Linked DNA regions of Macaca mulatta. The protein of the gene in region 1 interacts with the protein of each later gene in a pairwise test. Links are inferred from orthologs where the notes say so. Each region holds a gene or a part of one and is shown in the gene's direction. Other genes may lie near its edges.

Region 1 (5,065 bases):
TGTTTAATCTTCAAGGGTAGGTTTGCTAGCAACAAATTATCTTGATTTGACTTTGTGTGAGAATATCTTTATCTCCCCCTTCATTTCTGAAGGACATTTTCACCAGATACAGAAGTCATTGTTGACACTTTTTTTTCATTCAGTGCTTGGTTTTAGATGAGAAATCTACTGTCATCTAAACTGATATTCCTTTTTAAGTAATGCATTTTTTTCTTTCTGGTTGCTTTCAAGATTTTTTTTCTTTGTCTTTAGTTTTCAGAAGTTTAATTATTTTGTGTCTTAGTGTGGATTTGAGTTATTCTGTTTGGAGTTTGTCCAGCTTCTTGAATCTGTGGGTTTATATCTTTTGACAAACTTTGAGAGTTTTCAATCTTTTTTTTTTTTTTTTTAATATGTTTTTCAGTCCCATTCTCTCTTTCCTCTCTTTCTGGAACTCTTATCATACAAATGTTACTTCTTTTATTATTGTCCTCCAAGTCCTTGAGACTTTTTTCATTTGTTTCTGCAAAGTTTTTCTTTGTTTTTCTGTAAATTCTATTTGTCTGTCATCAAGTTTTCTTCTTCTATCCTCTGTTGACTGCATTCTCTTATCAAACTCCTTAGGTGAGCTTGTTATTTCAGTTATTTTACATTTCAGTTCTATATCTTTCATTTGGTTGTTTTTCATAATTTCTATTTATTTGCTGAGATTTTCTATTGTTTCATTTGTTTTAAGAAAATTTGAAATGGCTTGTTTGAGCCTTTTTTTGATGGTTACTTTAAAATTCTTTTCAGATAATTCCAATATCTGATACCTCTCAGTGTTGGCATCTGTTGTCTTTTCTCTTTCAAGTAGTGGGTTTTCTGGGTTTTGATATGATGGGTAATTTTTAAAATTTTATCTTGGACATTCTGTCTATTATGTTAGGAAAGTCTAGGTCCTATTTTCATCTTTTTTTTTTTTCATCAAGCATCTCTTTATTGACATGTAGTACAAGGGATGGGTGTGTTTGTATGTTCAACTTCCCACTGGACCTTACCTACACCACTCCAGCAAAAGTGGAGCACTTATTCACACGCTGTCTCAAGGCAGATGGGTGGTTTGGAAACTCTGCTTCCCGCTTAGCCTCATTGACTCATTGCTCATGAAAGGCGAACATTGCATGCTACCACTTTATTGCCAGTAAGTGGAGATGTAAGCTCAGTTCCCAGCTGGGCCCTGGAGCCCCCAGATCAAGGGGAAGTGGAGGACTGACTCACACTGCTTAGTTGCTGCAGGTGGAGGCAGAATTTAAGCTTCCTGTTGGCCCCACTGACACAAGGGGAGGGAAGAAGCATGATGTCAACTACTCTGTTTCATATCACTTCATTCAGCCTCCTTGGTTCGTATGAAGGCTTAGCTCTCTACTGGGCCCAGCTGACACAGGCTCATGGGAGAAGGGGGACAAAGTACTGACTAGGCATTCTTTGCCCTACCTCATTTAGTCTGGCTTTGCCAGTGGATGTGGAGGTCAAGCTTCTCATTGGGCATTGCTGACCCCATGGATGGTAGGAAGTGGGATCCCTACAGGTCCTAACTTGAATTACCTTGTTCAGTTGTAATGATGCTGGGTGAGTATAGAGATTCAGCTCCCCACTGGGTCTCTCTGACACCAGAGGCAAGAGGTGAAGCCTAATGGTGACTAAACCCTGCCTCTTCTGCCTCATTGAGCCTTGTTGCTACTGGGTAGGAATTTAGGTTCAACTTGTCATTGGATCCCACAGAAAGAACCCTGGTGGAGGAACTGGAATTGTGCCTGTGTCTTCCACTTAGGGAATTGATGATTACCTTCCCACTGAGCCCTGCTGACACTGCCACAGCAGAGGAATCAGCATTGACTGGCTCTGCTGGCCAAGGGATCAAAGATTAGCTAGTTACTGAGCCTTTTTTGATACCACTTGGCAGGGGAATCAGAGTTCTACATGGTTCTGCCCAGTGGGGAATGCCCACTCTCTTGTGGATACTTCTCAGACAGGGAATGGGTCACTTTGACTAAGAGCTGGGGGAGAGAGAATCCTATCTCCTTAGCTATGCCTACCCAGAAAGGAGCTTCTGTCATGCTGAGCTGGGATGAGGGGAAGAGAAAGAGCAGATTATGGCACAGACTTTAGCTATTCTTGCTGTGATTTAGTAGGTTTCTTAATAAATCTTTATTTACTATATTCCTCTAGGATAATTTCAAGTGACTTTGAGGGGTTGTTTTTTTAAATCATCTTTACCAGTTATGTTTGTTTTCTTGGGGTGCAGGTACGGGAAACTCCTTACATGCTGTTTTCTTCTCAGAGTCCTCCTGAGTTCATTTTTAAAATCTGATCACACTTTTTAAAGTATGATTATTGGATCATCCTGCATCCTTTTATGTTTTAGTGTAGTAGCAACTCCTGTGATGACATATGGTCACCTGGAGGGTCTTATAAATGAGTGGAACCTTGAGCTGGAAGATCAAGAGAAGTACTTTCTTCTCCAGGCCACTCAGGTCAATGCTTGGGACCGTACATTGATTGAGAATGGTGAGATGGTAAGAAGATGTTTTCATTAATCTACCTATATTGTGCAAGTATTTACAGATGAACATAAGAACATAGACCTGTGTTTTGTGGTTTTCTTTGTTGTTGTTGTTTTGTTTATGTTTTTGTTTTTTGAGACAGGGTCTTGCTGTATCACCTAGGCTGGAACACAGTGGTGCAATCACAGCTCACTGCAGCCTCAATCTCCCTGGCTCAAGCAATCCTCCTACCTCAGCCTCCTAAGTAGCTGGGACCACAGGGGCACACCAGCACCCCCAGCTAATGATGTGTGTGTTTTTTCAGTAGAGATAGGGTCTCACTGCATTGCCCAGTCTGATCTCAAACTCCTAGGCTCAAGTGATCTTCTTGCCTTAGCCTCGCAAAGTGCTGGGATTATAGGCATGAGCCACCATACCCAGCCCTGTGGTTAATTCTCTATTCCAATATTGGTGAGCAGTTCAAAATATATTCCTTAGGTAATAAGTACCCTGAATAAAAGGAAATCTTTCATATTTGAAGTGTATTTGAGAAAATTAATATTGCTCTAAAATTGTTATATAAATTCAAATACTTATATTGTTGTATTCATATTTCTCTTTATAGATTAGTATTTTACATGGAGAAGTGAACAAAGTGAAACTGGATCAGAAAAGGTAGAACCTTAGATTTCCTTGGTTGAAAGATTAAAGACCTATCTTTTTATTCAGTGTTTTTTTTCCCTCTGTAGTTTGTTAACTCTTTTCTTTTTGTCACTCCAAATTCCTTTCATCAGCCCTTTTATTAACTTACTTTATTCAGGTTGGAACAAGAATTGGATTTTATCCTGTCAGAGCAGCAGGAACTAGAATTTCTGTTGACTTATTTAGAGGAGGCTACGAGCAACCAGAGTGGACTTCATTATCTGCAGGATGCAGATGAGGAGCGTGTGAAGACGTAAGTAACTGGATAAAGATTGAAGAATGGGGCAGGACTTACATATTATGAGAGCATTCCAGGAACAGAGGGGAAAAGTTGAATTGGAAGGCAAAGAATACAAATCGGTAGAAAGGGACAAGCTTTTGTAGTTGACATTTATCAATTTGTTTGACTGTTTTCTGCTTATCTTTTCTGGATGCTTGTAAATGAGGAAATCATTCTGGCAATTTTGTTTTATAGCATTTTGTTTATTGTTATTACTGTCAACCTTATGCATGTTCACTGTAAAGGTTTTGTATTTGTCAAATTTGTTCTTAAATTAGAAGTACAAATTTTATGTGTGTGGTGTCATGGTATTGTGGGATATTTGTGGTATCCTCTTTATGTTGATTCTGCTAAAACTAATGTTCATGCAATTGCTTTAGTGATAAATCATTTGCTATTTTAAAGGCAATTTGTTAATCTGGAGGCAAACTGTATAGCTTTCAAAAATGGAGTGATTTTGTCAGTGTATTAGGAGGGCTATATTTTATTTGTGAACTCTTCAGTCTTTACCTTCTGTCAGTACAGTGCCAATGTTTCCGAAGTAACTTTATTTCTCTGGAACTGAGGTTTGGTAGTCTGTCAATTTATTAAGTATTAGAATTTGTATGAATGAACAACATAATCTAGACTGAGACTAAATTGGACACATTTTATCAATAACTTATTATGAGTTAAGACTGGGCCTATTTTTAACATGCTTGCAAGTTAACTTTTTTGTAGGAGCATTAAATGTGGTAAGTACAACTAATCTGTATTAACCTAAACCAGTTTCTGCTTTTGTATTTCAACCTTTGTGAATTTTTCTTTTCTTTGTATTGCTTTCTATGCATTCTATCATTTTTTTGAAACATATAGAGTTACATTTTTGGCCATAAGATCCTAACTATAGTTTGAAGAAATCTTCATGACATTAGTTCCTTTCCAGTTGCTCTTTTGTAGTCAGATATATATTCAAGATGAAGTCTTGCTCTGTCGCCCAGGCTGGAGTGCAGTGGCACGATCTCGGCTCACTGCAACCTCTGCCTCCTGGGTTCAAGCGATTCTTCTGCCTCAGCCTCCTGAGTAGCTGGGATTACAGGCACGTGCCACCACACCCAGCTAATTTTTGGTATTTTTAGTAGAGACGGGGTTTCACCATGTTGGCCAGGCTGGTCTCGAACTCCTGACTTCATAATCCACTCTCCTCGGCCTCCCAAAGTGCTGGGATTACAGTCATGAGCCACCACACCCGGCCCAGATTTATATTGTGATGAAATATTTACCAGAATCTTCAACAATCTAGGCAACCAATTCTATGGCATAAGTACTATGCCATAGAAAGGCAGTAGATAGTTGTTACCTACAAATCTAATTGACTCTTTAAATCTTTATACACATTAAGGTTGAAAAATCCTCTGGCCACTTTAATTCTTATAAACATATTTATTGACTGGGTCATGTGTGCGCGCGCGCGCGCGCCTGTGTGTAGTTTGTGTGGAAATCTTGAGAATTTAGGCAACTAGTGAACTTAGCAGATTTGTCTATCTTTGATTATCATGAAGCTCATTTCTCAAAACATCTTTTTTGCCTGATGGAGTAT
Region 2 (5,711 bases), about 36 Mb from region 1:
AATTGCCCACACAAAAAAACCCAGAAATCAATGTGAACAACAAGCACACAAAAGCACTTCCTTCAATGTCCAGATCAAGCCTTCTTCGTCACCCCCTCCAACCTTACCTGTTTCCTCCCTAGATATTCATAGAGAGTAATATATTTTATCATCTAAATAGTCTTCTGTATTGCTCTCTAGTAGCTTTTTGTGTATACTTAACTAGGCTTCAGGTTCCTTGAGGGCGAGGATTTGTTTTGTTCATTTTTGTGCCGCCCACAGTGCCTTGCACATAGAGACTCTAGTAATGTTACTTATTGACTGAAGAAGTACGAGCATGACCTGCATTTAACAACAAAAAGAGTTTTAGTTAATTAGCACCCGCTCATCAGCAAGGCCTAAACATCTGCCAGTGGAATCGGCGAAGTCTTTTCCTAAAAGTTAAAAAGCTGAGTTTATTCATCACAGATTGGGAACTTGTAGTAGGTGTGTGTGTGAGCGGGGGAGGTTTTACCAGTTAAATCAAATTACAAGAGGTTGGTGCCCAATTTTCAAGGGAGTTTGTGTAGTGATGTTTGTCTTTTTCACTGCATGATGTGACTCTTGATTATGGGATGGAAGAAATTAGCATTATGAATTTTCTCTGTGCTTATTTCCATAATTAATTGTTTGTTGACTGTTTTGAAGAAATTTAAGCAGAATTTGAGGATTTAGTTTATCAAACAATGTAGTGAAGGGGCTAGGTAGCAAAAACTTTTTTTTTCTTTTTTATTATACTTTAAGTTCTAGGGTACATGTGCACAACGTGCAGGTTTGTTACATATGTATACATGTGCCATGTTGGTGTGCTGCACCCATTAACTTGTCATTTACATTAGGTATATCTCCTAATGCTATCCCTCCCCCCTAGCAAAAACTTTTTGAAGAAATTCATTGACCTGCTTTCCTAGATCAAGGACTTTTTGAAATAAAAAGGCTCTCAGAGATCCAACTTGTAGCCTCCAGTGGCTTGTAATAATTTCTTGCTGATGTGGCAAGTTACCTTAAATCGTTTCTAGAACAAGACGTGAGGTATAAATGCCAATGTGACAAAATGTCTGAACAGTAGACTTGAAACTGCAGGAGGATCATAAGAACCCATTTGTTCAAGGAAGTGGAGGCAATTCATGACTAAATCTAGACGTGTGGTTTTAGGCAGATGGCAAGTGAATTCATTTATCATTGTTGATCTGCTTTGAGCTCAGTGGAATCGCCGATTGTGACAATCCGCAGAGCTAGTTGGTTGAAATGAAGTCACAACTCGGAGGAGAGTCATGAATTTTGACGAACATGAATCACCTTTAACATTTTTATGGCTGCCTTCGGAGTGCAAACCCCCGGCATGTCCCTGAGTTATTAAGCATTTGCCCTATCACTGTGGGCAGGAGTCTTCTGAATACCAAAACGATTTTGAAATTTCGGGCTATACGGTCAACATTGGAGGTGTCTCCATTCAACTGGCCCCGTGAAAGTTTCAGTCTTTTTCATCGAAGTGCCGAAATCGATGGCCGAGTCACAATGAAGACGGCTTCAATAGGAACCCTCTCGCTCCTAGTTTGGAGCAGCTGTCTTTGCGAGGCAATCTTCTGAATTGACTGGATCGGAATTGATCCGTGAGAGTCGTAACCATCCGTTTTTGTACGAATAAAGTTGACAAACTTTTTTAGACGCCTTTGGCGTTTATGTTTAAAACGACACCACCTGCTAAGTAACAAACAGACTCTTCTTTATCGCCGTGGCAAAAATGTATTCTCCCCGTGTGTGTGTTTGTTTGTTTTTACCCTTCCGCTACACTCTTAAGAAACTTAGCCGCTTCCGCCCGGGAGAGTGCCCTAACCGCGAGTCGGGTTGACAGGGCTGCTCGCATGCGCCGTCTCCACCGTGGTGTTTGTCGCAATGGGCGCTGCGCGGAGGGCTACATGGAATCTCGACTTTGCAGCTTGAAGTCATTTTGTTGGCGGCGCTGGTTACCGCGGCTACCTCCGCGCGGGCACTTGATTGTAACAGAAAGTAGTTCCGGCCCGTGTTGTTTCGGCCGAGGAGCCGTCGCCGCCATTTCAAGACCGTACTAGGTAGATGGCCAACTAGAGTTCCCAGGGTTCGAAGCCTGTAACTGCTGCCGCCGCTGAAGCCCTCCAGAGCATTGCTACGGCTGCTGCCCTTGTACTACTACCTCCAAATACGTTCTTGCCGGTAGTGGCGGCAGCAGGACCAGTTACCTTTTTTTTGCTCTCCCTCGAGAAGCTCCAGATGGCGTCTTCCGTGGGCAACGTGGCCGACAGCACAGGTACCGGTGTCCCGTTCTACCTTGGCAGATGCCCCCTTGGGGTCTCGCGCCGTCCTCTACCTTGTATCACTCCTTCCCTCCCTTACCTCGAACCATCCCCATTACATCAGTGACATTGCTGAGCTTCTCGTGGTAGATCGGGTTTTCCGCTGTCGTCCGCTTCCCGAACATTTCCTCCTCCTGCTTTGCTTGCTTTTTGCTCCCTTTCTTGCTTTGTTTTTATTTCGTAAATGTTGTAGCTTTCCACTCTCTCTGGGCGCTTCTATCACACGTGCGCGCTTAGAATGTCGTGGAATGGACTGCATTGGAATCCCTGCCCTTTCACTCCTTTGCAGCGGTTTTCTCCCCTAATTCCAGCTCTTCACCTCTCCTTTTTTCCCTCCGTCTCCCCCTCCAGCCTTTTCCCCTTAGCCAGATTTGGTCCTTCTCTGCCAATCTAGGGCGGGGGTGCCGTTCCGATGTAATCGTATCCTCACTTTGCATCACCCGAGGACGAGCAAAAGCTCGTCGATGGTGCCACAAGTCACCTCGAGAAGAGGGGACGTTGAGCAGCACCCCGCTAGGCAGTGCCTTTCTGGTGTTCTTTCGGTTGAGCGGTCCCGGTTTAGATTGGAAATTTCCAGGGGTTTCCTTTGCCATCGCTCAATTCCACCGCTGCCCTCAGCCTGGATTTCCCACCCTGTCCTCGGGGAACCACACCCTTCCCTTCGCGAGGTTGCCAGCCCTACTGTTCACTTCCTATCCTTGGGGGAGAAACCACCCCGACGCTGCTGCTTTGGCGTTGACCACCCTGCCCGCCCAATTCTCGCTTTGTGTTACTTTCTCGATGTATTCCTCCGCCGCCGCCTCTGGGTCTGCCATCCCCATTCTTTAGCCCAGCATCTCTTTATTCATAGGGTGTAATATTTTTTTAAGTTTCCATCCCTGCTTGAAGAGTTTGTAAAGCAACTGGAGTGTAGCTGCACAAGTACAAGGCGGTTGCCCTTTTAGACAATTCAGTCGCGAGCATTTGGTACTAAAAATACGAAAACAACCAAATTATAGGAGTGTCCTTCAGCTGCCTTTCCATATTGAGTCGATTTGGGCGGAAGGGGGTGGGGAATTGGGCTGCGCTTCTGAGGTTTCCCGCGAGGTTATTTTTTGGTTGTTTCTCAGTTGAGATGTGTGGAGGGTTTTAGTTCCTGTTTCTGGAAGTTGTGCTGTAAGTAGTAGGTGAATCGTCCATAGCATCTTATCCGTAATCGTAGGGAGTGGGATTAATAATTAGTCCGTGCCCCTCTCCCCACTTCTCCACCGTGATTTTCAAAGGTTTGAGATTCTGTACTAGCTTGCCCTTTTTAATGTGTTATTTTATTTGAGGAAGCTGTCGTTTCAAGTGTTAAAATAGATAAGCGGCATTGAAAAGTGACAAAGTAATGTGTGAAAACAAGGAGCTAGGAAGTTCTAGAAACTTAGCTAAAATGTAATTTTAGTTTCTATTAGAGAGATAACCTCTCCCAGATGTGGATGCCAGTCTCAGTGCTCTTTGTGTTGGTGGTCAGCTGTGCATTCTGTCAGGAAATTTACTTTGCTTTCCTCAGTATCCAGAGAACACTCATCAGCTCTAATGATTGGGGAGCTGGGCTCAAGTTTGAACTCGTCACCTTAACCTTGGTAGAATTAAAAAATTTGTCCATGGTTTCCCATTTCAACCAGCTAGTGAAGTGCTACGGTCGAATTCCCAGTTTAAGTATTTACAGTTGTGACAAGCAGTTTTTTTCCCCTCTTTGGGCTTTAGCTATATCCTTTAAAGATCTTGATGTATCTGGATTAAGTCAGTTGCAGCAAAGTGCTTTTATTTATTCGTTATGTTGCGCTTTATCAAATATCTTATATTTTAGCGTCCATCCCCCCTCCTCCCCAACGTTTTGACCATTGCAGTTGCAGATAACTGCCTGGTTTATATAGGCTTGTTTGCACTGTCTTAATCCTTTAGTCAATACCAGAGCTCTTTGGAAAATGTTAGTGCTAAACCAACGTGGGTGGGATTTAGCCAATTTAGTCTCCTTGTGAGTTTGGGATGGTAGAGGAGCAGTAAAATCTTGGGTCTTTATTTAAAATGTTTGATGACCCCTTTAACTATTTTGGCTGTTGACAAATGACAAACATCTTGTTTATCAGCTGTTTTAAAAATAGCACTTTGACTTTTTGGTTTTTCCCTTAGGCTCGTTTCTACTTGTCCTTTTAAAGAATTAAATTGTGAAATATACAAACACATTGATAGAATTTAAAGAGTTAACACATCTGGTGTCCTTACTGAGGTTAAGACTGGTAGATTGTTACCAGTACTCCACTTCCACAAATCCAACCTGAAATATGGTACAAAATATTAAGTTTTCCAATATGTTATTCTGGTATTATTAAGTCTTTGTGACCTTGCAAATCACACGTTTAATATTTTGTTTCTGTATGTAAACTAAGATATAAGGAATGATGTTCGGTGAATCCTTAGATGCTACCTATGATTTATAATTTAAAAGTACAAAGTATTTTTGGTCATAAAATGTAATCTCATTTGGAAGTAAATATTCCTTTCTAGTTTGGGAAAGTATTAATGGGTGAATTCTAAAAATGTCAATTCTGCACTTGATGTTAACTTGGAGATATAAATAACGTGCAGAACACTCTAGTGCTTTACATAGTTTCAAGCATTTCCATTTTTAAGTTAAATATACCATATTTTTACATTTTTTTGTTTACATTTCTAACTTTTTGTTTTCCCCCCTCCTTCCCTCAAATGTTTTGATGATTCTCCAGAACCAACGAAACGTATGCTTTCCTTCCAAGGGTTAGCTGAGTTGGCACATCGAGAATATCAGGCAGGAGATTTTGAGGCAGCTGAAAGACACTGCATGCAGCTCTGGAGACAAGAGCCAGACAATACTGGTGTGCTTTTATTACTTTCATCTATACACTTCCAGTGTCGAAGGCTGGACAGGTAGGAGATGTGGGGGTACCTGCTCGTGATTGCTGCCTCTGGGTGCTGAGCTTGAAAAATGATACTTAAATATTTGAACTTGAAATTTTTCCAGTACCGGGTTTCAACTGAGCCGCCAACGCACATCTGCTCTCTCTTGCCCACTTGTGACATGCCCAGCTGCCAGTTTTTCTCCTTCCTTTTGTGGTGGTGGTTATATTATCAGTATGACTAGGGACCTTTTCTAGATTTTTCTACCTGGGTCTGCTGCTTTCTAGACTCTGTTCAGGTAATAAATTATTATCAATGTATATCTGAGCATCCAGTCTCCCTTTCATGAGACCTGTCAGTTTGAGGGACTGAAATGCTCAGAAATGGTGGTTATGTATGCTGTGGCAGGAGATGCATACCTGAAGTTTCGTTAAGTTGTTATGGTGTGTTGCTTTTAGT

Evidence for each region.
Region 2: the proteins of NUP62CL (region 1) and OGT interact in binary tests that used the Homo sapiens proteins (3 or more experiments, as listed by UniProt). The two-hybrid records come from large-scale screens. The link is inferred for Macaca mulatta from reciprocal best matches to the Homo sapiens genes NUP62CL and OGT.

The regions. Positions count from the first base shown.
Region 1 is NC_133426.1:113,948,929-113,953,993, reverse strand, and holds part of NUP62CL (nucleoporin-62 C-terminal-like protein), read left to right. Parts: intron 1-2,386; coding exon 2,387-2,537; intron 2,538-3,129; coding exon 3,130-3,179; intron 3,180-3,324; coding exon 3,325-3,459; intron 3,460-5,065.
Region 2 is NC_133426.1:78,014,959-78,020,669, forward strand, and holds the start of OGT (UDP-N-acetylglucosamine--peptide N-acetylglucosaminyltransferase 110 kDa subunit), read left to right. Parts: upstream 1-2,072; 5' UTR 2,073-2,268; coding exon 2,269-2,305; intron 2,306-5,101; coding exon 5,102-5,282; intron 5,283-5,711. UniProt on the Homo sapiens protein: Catalyzes the transfer of a single N-acetylglucosamine from UDP-GlcNAc to a serine or threonine residue in cytoplasmic and nuclear proteins resulting in their modification with a beta-linked N-acetylglucosamine (O-GlcNAc).